2 linked regions of the Oryctolagus cuniculus genome follow. The protein of the gene in region 1 binds, or shares a complex with, the protein of each later gene. Links are inferred from orthologs where the notes say so. Each region holds a gene or a part of one and is shown on either strand. Other genes may lie near its edges.

Region 1 (4,505 bases):
GCTAGTCAAAGATGATTTTATTGTACACACGCTGGGACTGATGGGAAGTGTAGCTGTAGTGGGGAGCCATTGCCCTGGTTAGCAACGGATCCCCATTCCAATGGCCATGAATGTGCCAAACGTGCCGCCACTCTGCATCATGGTTTTCCCAATGCCGCCCATCAGCTCGCGACCCCGCATTCCGATCCTGAGGAGGAAACCAGGATGGGGACATTTGGGAACAAAAATTTTTGACCATTTGTTCGTTTCCACTCTGGTAATATATTGAGCCCTGTTAAAATCTAGACATCTCTATCTTAAATCCGATCTCTTTCCATCTAGGGTAATAAGAAGAAAGATCCATTAGTGTCTACAGGACATTCTTAGGGCCAACTGCCTGTAGTTTACTGGTGGCAGCAGACATGGGGTGAAGTACATGTGCTGATTTTGACTTCAGGCTCTATATGATCCAATAACGACACCTATCTTTAGACACCGTTTTCTGGTATTAGATTTGAGTGAGACCCAGGTTGGAGACTGTTCTGCAAATTCACAGGCTGTATTAGTATTACATTTGCCGGAATGTTTTGACAACTACAGTAGTTTAGCACCAGTAAATCCTCAGTAAACGATAGTTCGTAATGTAGGAAAATGGGAATAACTTTTTCAAGTGGTAAAGTGACTTTCAAGTATGGAGTATATCTGCTTCATCTGTACATCGTTTTCAAAGACAGTAGAGCCGCTTAGCAAGTTTCATTTTGCCCACTCAGAACAGCAGTAGCAACCATTTACTGAGTACTTAATTAATACGTGCCAGATGCTGTGCTTGATTTCTGCCTCTCCCTGAGCTGGTGTTACCGACCTCACCCTACACTTGAAGAGACTCAAGTCTCCAATTTGTCTTAAGTCACCAAACCAGCAGCCGAACGACTCTGGAGCTCAGATTCTTAGGCTCGGACGCCTTGAACCCGAGTCTCCTGGCTGCACGCGGTCAGGACAGCTGGGAACTGGAACGAAGGACGCGCCACTGGGGCTGCGAGCCGGGCGGGTTCCGCGGCGCCGCCCGGAGATTTCCGCTGCGCTCCTCACCTGAGACAGGAGAAGGTGCCGAAAAGCGCCCCGGCCGCCATGCCCACGGCGCAGCCCATCACAAAGCCCATCTTCACACGATCGAAGCAGCTTGGCTGCGATTGTCCGTAGGGACCCACGGCCACCGGCATCTGCGGAATGCGAGAGAGGAAAGTGCGGGCCTAGCCGCCAGCCCGGGAGTCGGGCAGGGCGGGGAGCGGGCCCAGGGGTTCGGGGAAGTCAAAGGAGGGGAATCAGCGCGCTGCCCGCCTCCACCACCATCTTCGCGTTCGGGCTCCCGCGTCGCGCGGTCGCGGGGCTCACACGGCCCCTCCTCACCTCGCTCGCGGCCTCGGTCGCTCAGCAGTACGTCTCACACGGGAAGCAGGGCGGGGCGCGCGCGTGGCCCGAGGAATCGCTTCCGGTGCGCGAGGCAGCACTTCCGGGAGCCTGGGGCCGAAGTCGGCCGCCGCTCCAGGTGGTGGGCTCGGCCGCCGCGACCATGCTGCTGCGATCCGCCTGGCGGCGGGCGGCCTCGGCGGTGACCGCGGCCCGAGGGGCGAGGCCTGCGGTGCCCACCCGGGAGCTGCGCCTGCGCGGTACGCTCCTGGGCTCTTCGCTGCCACTCTCCCTGGAGGCGCGCGTCTTTGCCCCTGGGCGCCACTACGCACTTGGATATTCTGGAACCTCCTTGTCCGGCCCGGCTGCCTTAGAGCCTCTGCCCTTTGCCGTCCGCCGCGCTCAGTCTGTCTGCGCAGCAGACCTGGACAGCCTACGAGGCTCGTCCTTCGGACCGCCCCAGCCGTCTTTTGGAGACGCGGTCCGCGGCTTCTTCCCAGCCCGCTACCTCACCTGCTCTGTCTCCGCATTCCTTCTACGGGGCTTTACCCTTGAGAGTTCTTCTCACTCCCAACCAGGGAATTTAAATATCGCCCCAGCATCTTCCTCCAAGAACCGGCTCCCGCCTTACCCCTTACCACCTTTCAGAGGGTCCCGAGCTTCTCTGATGCTGTGTTCCTTCCCTTCCCGTTTGACCCCGGCATCGCTCGAATTTACCACCGCCTTCATCCCGCTTTCACCTCCCGCCCTGACGGCAGCCCGGCGTCCTCCGCCGCAGGCTCTCACTTGGCCGCTCCGTTCCTTCTGTTTTTCTGACAGTGGCGGACCATGCTCCCTCAGGCACAGCCGCTGCTCCGGAGGTGGAGGCAGTGCTGCGACCTCTCTATATGGATGTGCAAGCTACAACTCCTCTGGTAAGAAGGGAGCGGCAGCTTTCCCCAGGGCTGTCCACAGGAAGTGAGCAGTGGAAGTGACAGTGCCCAGAAATCGCTGGATTCTTGTAGACGTGAGAGCCCTTTGAGATGTGCCGGCAAGTGCCTCCAGCCGGGACTCAGGAGGCTTAAACCGCAGTCCACGAGAAGTGGCTCTGCCGTTGGATTTAGGCAGGCAGGGCAGGCACGATGGAAGTGGTTACAGTAAGCATGGGCTCTTGAAGTTAGCAGGAGTACCATCTCATAGCTAGGTGAAATTGGGCTGGTATCAAATCGGTTAAAAGACACAAAGCAGCCCAGCATATGGTCAGCACTCGAGAGTTAATGAAAATTTTCATCTCTGTGTGACAAGGGGCGTTTGCCTGGGCTCTGTCGTGTCCCAGCCCCTCAGAGGTCACATTTTCTGGCAGGAATGGAAAAACTTGCAGCAACAGCCATCAGCCCTCAGAACAAGGAAGTGTTTGTAGACCATGGAGGAGATGATAGAGAAAGGGCATGGTAGGACCCCTTGGGAGATGGGAGTATATTATGGTCGTATTTGGTTAGTATCTGAGGAGGTGGAAGAATGTGAGAAACCCCAGGCAGGCAGTGTCTGACTGGTCAGGAGTGTGTGGGCAGGGTATGTAGGAGTGGGAAAGAAGGCCCTGAGGTGACAACGGATTCTATTCTGCTGTGCCCAGGACCCGCGGGTACTTGATGCCATGCTTCCTTATCTGGTCAACTACTATGGGAACCCACACTCCCGGACACACGCTTATGGCTGGGAGAGTGAGGCAGCCGTGGAACGCGCTCGCCAGGTTAGTTCACAGGTGTCTGGGAGGTTCTGAGGACAGAGGGCTAGTGGCCTGTGGGAGGCATTTCCTTCTTGGTAGAAGTGGGTGGAAATGGTTTCAGGTTCTTTCTGGAAGAGATACAGACAGCACCTTGGTGTCTGACTGCAGGCATTTGATTACTTCCCACAATTCCTAGTTAAAAGGCCTTGGGCAAGTTACCTCATTTCTCTGAACCTCAGTTTCTCAAATATGAAATGGAGACTGCAATAATTCCTGTTCCCTGGGGTTGCTGAGCTGGTTAAATGAGACCGTACTGGTAAAGTGTTGATGAACACAATACTTGTACATAGTGAGAGCTCAATAAGTGCATTTGAAAGACCACACAGAATAGTATTATTGGGGGCTGGTAAAAAGCCTGGGATATGGGCTGTCACTGACCCTAGGACGCAGAGCGCTTCTTCCTGGTCCACTGGTAGATTTCTGTGGAGCTCTCTCCTCCAGAGCTCTGGCCCAGCCGTGTCTGGAGTCGCTTGCCTAGACCGATGTCCCCATAGTGTGGGAACTGATGTTATGCATCTGTTTCTTCGCTTGCAGCAAGTAGCATCTCTCATTGGAGCTGATCCTCGCGAGATCATTTTCACTAGTGGTGCTACTGAGTCTAACAACATAGCAGTTAAGGTAAGAGAAGCAGATCTGCGTCTTCCTGACTCGAGAGAGAAGTATTTCTCCATCATTTAGGCTCAGACATATATTTCACAACTACCTACCCCTCATTATTGTGACGAGAAAACACTCCTGGTTTGCTTTTCCTTCAGTCCTCTGCAGTCTACTCTGTTTTAAGTCTTTGTCTATTGGCCTGAGTTCAGTGAGGCAGTTGGTAGGAGAGGCTGTGGTTCTCAGGCCATTAACCACTTGGTTTCTTGGGTGGCAGCTACTTCAGAAAGTTGATAATGACGACTGAACTCTCTGCCTCATTCTTGTGATCTGGTAACAAGGAAGTCCCGAATCACTTGTACTTAGGCATGTTTCTCCTTCATGCTATAGCTTCACCCTTTTATATATTGGGGCTGTTCTCATTGTAGCAGTCTCATTTCTTTCTTTTTTAAAAATTTATTTATTTATTTATTTGAAAGGCAGAGTTACAGAGAGAGGAAGAAACAGAGAGAGATCTTTCTTATCCACTGGTTCACTCCCCAAGTGGCCACAGTGGCCAGGGCTGGGCCAAACAGAAGCCAAGAGCCTGGGACTCCATCTAGGTCTCCCATGTGTGTGGCAGGAACCCAAGAACTTGGGCCATCTTCAGCTGCTTTCTCAGGTGCATCAGCAGGGAGCTAGATTGAAAGTGGGGCAGCTGGGACTCAAACCATTGCTCGAATGGGATGCCTGTGCCGCAGGCAGTGGCATAACTCACTGT
Region 2 (4,339 bases), on another chromosome or scaffold:
GCGGGGGGTGGGGGCCCTCGGGGCTGGGGAGCCCCGGCGCTGGGGCGGCCCCTGACCCGGCTCCCCCTGCCCTCTGTCTCCAGACCCCACTGGGCGGCCAGAAACGCAGCTTTGCCCACCTGCTGCCCTCGCCCGAGCCCAGCCCGGAGGGGAGCTACGTGGGCCAGCACTCCCAGGGCCTCGGCGGCCACTACGCGGACTCCTACCTGAAGCGGAAGCGGATTTTCTAGGGGGCTGGTGCCGGACGAGCCGCAGGGCCCGCACCAAATCACTTTTGGGTTTTCTGGTGTTTCGTTTTGTGTTTTTTTTTTTTTTCTTTTGAATTTTCTTTCTTTCGGTAATAGAGAAATCTCAGAAAGACTGCTGAGCAGCTGGCCGGAGCCCGGGGGGCATGGGGGCGCCCGGGGCCTGCTCCCCGCGCTGAAACCCCGCAGCCTTAAGAGAGAGGGGCCCCCCGCCCGCCCTCCCCCCTGATCGGGCCTTTCCAGTGCCTTGGAGGTCCCGGCCTCCCGTGAGGAGCAGACTGTCCCCTCACCCCCCTTTTTAACTCCGACAATTGACTTCGGTTTCCTTTTCTGATTTTTATTATTTTTTAAACCATCCAGGGCGCCCCCACCCCACCCCACCCCACCCCCCAGCTCTGGTCCTTCAAGGTCCCGCCCTCCTGGGCCTCCATTCCACACGTTGCAGTTTGAAACCGCTCGGCCCTGCCCTCTTCCCCACGTCCACTGCGGGCACGGCTGTCTCCTGGCCCTTGCCTGCCCGCTCTGGCCTGTGCCCCCCTCCCGTCCCCGTCCGCGCCACAAGTCCCCGCGCCTTCTGATGCCTTAACGCTGGGCCGCAGGCCGGCGGGCCAGAGCCTCTTGACTCAGGACCAAACAGCTCTGGCCTGGGGATGGCCCCCTGGACTCGCGGGCTCCACCCTGGGGACAGGAGAAGGCCAAAGCTGTGGTCTTGGCAAAGCACCCCACCTCCCCTCCCACCCAGGCCCGGGTGCAGTCCCCTGCTGTGTGTGGAAGCTCCCCCCACCCTGCCCGCCTCACTGAGCCGCCGCCATCCCCCCTCGTGGAAGACAAGCCCCATCTGCATCCCCAGGCTGGAGCCCGGAGCTGGCCTCCTTTTGGCCCAGTGCCGGAAGCCAACGAACGCCGCGCCGACGGGCCCTGCACCTGCGCACCAGCAGGACCTGTCCCACCTGAGTGTGCCCCGGCCTGCTGGGCCGCCAGCTTTCCTCTGGGGGACCCCACCCCCCAACGACATCCTCTCCCCTACCTTCCCACACAGACCTTTGCTGAATTAAAGTTTGTAAGTAAACGGTTTTAAAGAAATCAGAGCTGGCTGGTTCTTGGGGTCAAGCAGTGGGCCCGGGTGAGGACTCTCGGATGGCCACGCAGAGCCGCGCGCCCCATCCTGCCTCGCCTGCAACCGGGGTGGGCCGCCCTGAAGCGCGGTGGCGCTTGTATTGGGAGGATTACGGGCCGCGGTTCGCGGGTGCGGCCTGCGCATGCTCGGTTGCCGAGTCACGTGGTGCCTGTCATGGCCGCCTCCGTGGCCCGGGGCGGCGTGAATGCTAGGGGCCTGCTGCGGGCGGCGAGGACCTCCTGGCGGAGCAGACCCGGGAGCTGTTCAGGGTCCGGCGAGGCGCCGGCGGCGATCAGGAAGTTCTGGGCGACAGGTACCGGGCGCGGGCAGCGTTAACCCGTCGCATGCCAGCGGGGCCGGGCTCGGCCGCTCACCCAACCGTGTTTTCCAGGCGCGCGGCCGGCGGGAGAGGAGGAGAACGGCGGCCCCGAGCGGCCCGGGGACGTGTGAGTGCTGGGGCCTCGCCCCTCTTCCTCAGCCCTCGCCGTGGCCCGCGGCCGCCTCCGGGCCTTTGTTCGCCTCGCCCCCCTCAGCCCCTGCCGGTTCCCTAAACCTGGGTTCTGCGGGGCGGGGGGCGGGGGCGATCCCGGCGTCCACGCCCCCCTTTGTCCCCAGAGTCAACGTGGTGTTCGTAGACCGGTCCGGCCAGCGGATCCCAGTGAGCGGCAGAGTCGGGGACAATGTGCTGCACCTGGCCCAGCGCCATGGGTTGGACCTGGAAGGTAGTGGGCCCGGCCCGGCAATCTGGGGAGGCCTTTATCCGCTCTCCCAGAAAAGCCCCACCCGTCAGAAGTGGCTCTCCCCAAGGGCTCCCCCACCACGGAGGGGCTGCAGCCCCAGGACCTTTGCACCTGCTGCTCCCGCCGTCGGATGCACCTTCCCAGGCTGCTCTGGCTCCCTCTCGTCCCACCTGTTAGCTCTGGGCAGCCCCGTCTCCCTCATCCCAGCGGAAGTCCCCACGGCCCTGTCACTGTCCTACCAGTGCGTTTGTCTCCCTGTTCTGTCTTTGTCATCTGTCCCCACTGAGAGCAGAGCCCCTGTGGGCCTCATTCTTACCCACCCGCTGCCCATCTCAGCCCTTAAATGTAGCAGGTGTTAGGTCAGCATCTTAAAGACAAAAAGAGCAGAAATTACCTAACACCGGGGCCGGCGCTGTGGCGTCGAAGGCTAAGCCTCCGCCTGCAGTGCCGGCATCCCACGTGGGCGCCAGTTCAAGTCCCGGCTGCTCCACTTCTGGTCCTGCTCTGGAGGACGGCCCACGTGCCCGGGCCCCTGCCGCTGGCGTGGGAGCCCAGGAAGAAGCTCCTGGCTCCCACCAGCCCAGCCCTGGCTGTGGCAGCCACTCAGGGAGTGAATCAGCTGATGGAAGATTCTCTCTCTCCTCTCTGTGTCTCTGCCTTTCAAATAAATAAAGAAAAAGGAAAGAAATTAAGTATGTTAACATATGAACTGATTGGCTTTTAAAAGTTATTAATTTGAAAGGCAGAGTTACAGAGAGAGAGAGGGAGAGGGAGATTTTCCATCTGCTGGCTCACTCCCCAAATACCCACAGCAGCCAGGGCTGGGCCAGGCCAAAGCCAGGAGCCAGGAGCTCCATCCGGGTCTCTCCTGTGGATGGCAGGGGCGCAAACCCTTGGGCCATCCTGCGCTGCTTTCCCAGGCGCATTAGCAGGGAGCAGGATCGGAAGTCGGGCAGCCGTGGCTCGAACCTGTGCTCCTGTGGGGCCCTGGTGTGGCAGGTGCCAGCCCCTGCCTGCATTTCCATGGCAACTGTACACACTGGAGGAGACCAGACCCGCTGCATTTTCTAGATGAGGAACCAGCCCCAGGCTAAACAGGCCTGGGCCACTCAGGAAAGTGGGGCAGAGGGGGCACTCAGGGTCGGCACCAGCTCCCGCCTCCTGGGAAGCCCCAGGTGGCCGCCGCAATAGCTGGCTCCCTGCTGCCCACTAGGGGAGAGACTGGCGGGGTTCCTGGTTCCCAGGCATCTCGTAGAGGGCAGCAGGGGGGCGGGGCCCGTATGTCTGTCCTCCGCCTGTAGAGAGTGGAGGGAGGAGGGACAGGTAAACACAGAGGTTAACGCCCTCACTTTGGTTGGCAAACACTCTTCAGAATTACAGTGGGGGAAGGTGATCAAGGGGGAGAAAGACAAGAAATAGGACGTGGGGACTCGAGGGACCACTGGAGTTGAACCCCCAAAGACAAGGAGGAGCCAGTGATGAGAAGAGCATCCCCGGTCATGCATGAGTGTAGCAGGTGCAAAGGCCCTGTGGTAGGATGAGCATGCTGTGTTCGCATTGCATTGAGGGTAATGGGAGGCGGGGGGGGGGGGGGGGACTCCAGGCCTGGGTGGGTAAGTTCTGGATTTTGTTCAGGGTGTGAAACCCTGTGGCAGGTTTTAGGTGACGAGGGACACTCCCCAAGCACAGACTGTTCCGTCAGAGGGTTCCGGGAGCATGCCCAGGGGCAGGTGGTCAGCAGGAAACCCCCGCTTCTGCCTATTTCGGTCCTCATGGGGGGTGGGGGCCCCTCCCAATGCGGCCGGGCACGGAGCGAGCTGGCCCCTCCCCCAGGAGCAGCGGGAGGGAGTTGGGACCAGAGACCCCGCGTGGCCTCTCCTCGCGCTGGTTGACGCGCGGTTCTCCCCCGGCCACCAGAGCTAGCAGAGTACAGGGTGGGGTGGTGGGGCACCCCGCGGGCGCGCAGGCCCTGGAGGGAAAGCAGGGGCCCCTCCCCGCCGCCCTCGGCCAAGCGGCACCTGCTCACCCGCGCCCTGTGCTTCCCGCCCGCAGGGGCCTGCGAAGCCTCGCTGGCCTGCTCCACCTGCCACGTGTACGTGAGTGAGGCCCACCTGGACCTGCTGCCTGCCCCGGAGGAGAGGTGAGTGGGGCGCTCGGAGCGCCGCGCGTGGGCCCCCGCCGCCGCCGCCGGCCCGCTAACGCCGCCCCCGCCGCCCCAGGGAGGACGACCTGCTGGA

Evidence for each region.
Region 2: the proteins of NFS1 (region 1) and FDX2 are in contact, whole or in part, in a cryo-EM structure (PDB 8RMC), measured with the Homo sapiens proteins. The link is inferred for Oryctolagus cuniculus from reciprocal best matches to the Homo sapiens genes NFS1 and FDX2. Residues at the interface, in NP_066923.3 of Homo sapiens: Gln153, Lys157, Leu160, Asp161, Arg164, Ala168, Tyr175, Ala384, Ser385, Leu386, Glu387, Pro388, Tyr390, Arg393, Gln456, His457; in NP_001384335.1 of Homo sapiens: Ala104, Cys105, Glu106, Ala110, Cys111, Pro141, Leu142, Ile169, Thr170, Arg171, Asn172, Phe173, Tyr174, Val175, Asp176, His178, Lys181.

What each region holds. Positions count from the first base shown.
Region 1 is NC_091442.1:22,508,001-22,512,505, forward strand, and holds the start of NFS1 (cysteine desulfurase), read left to right. Parts: upstream 1-1,549; coding exon 1,550-1,646; intron 1,647-2,205; coding exon 2,206-2,300; intron 2,301-2,998; coding exon 2,999-3,115; intron 3,116-3,685; coding exon 3,686-3,769; intron 3,770-4,505. Other genes in the region: ROMO1 (reactive oxygen species modulator 1), read right to left, coding at 79-187, 1,069-1,199.
Region 2 is NC_091447.1:67,066,328-67,070,666, forward strand, and holds the start of FDX2 (ferredoxin-2, mitochondrial), read left to right. Parts: upstream 1-1,469; 5' UTR 1,470-1,536; coding exon 1,537-1,675; intron 1,676-1,753; coding exon 1,754-1,808; intron 1,809-1,977; coding exon 1,978-2,084; intron 2,085-4,154; coding exon 4,155-4,242; intron 4,243-4,321; coding exon 4,322-4,339. Other genes in the region: RAVER1 (ribonucleoprotein PTB-binding 1), read left to right, coding at 84-230. UniProt on the Homo sapiens protein: Electron donor, of the core iron-sulfur cluster (ISC) assembly complex, that acts to reduce the persulfide into sulfide during [2Fe-2S] clusters assembly on the scaffolding protein ISCU.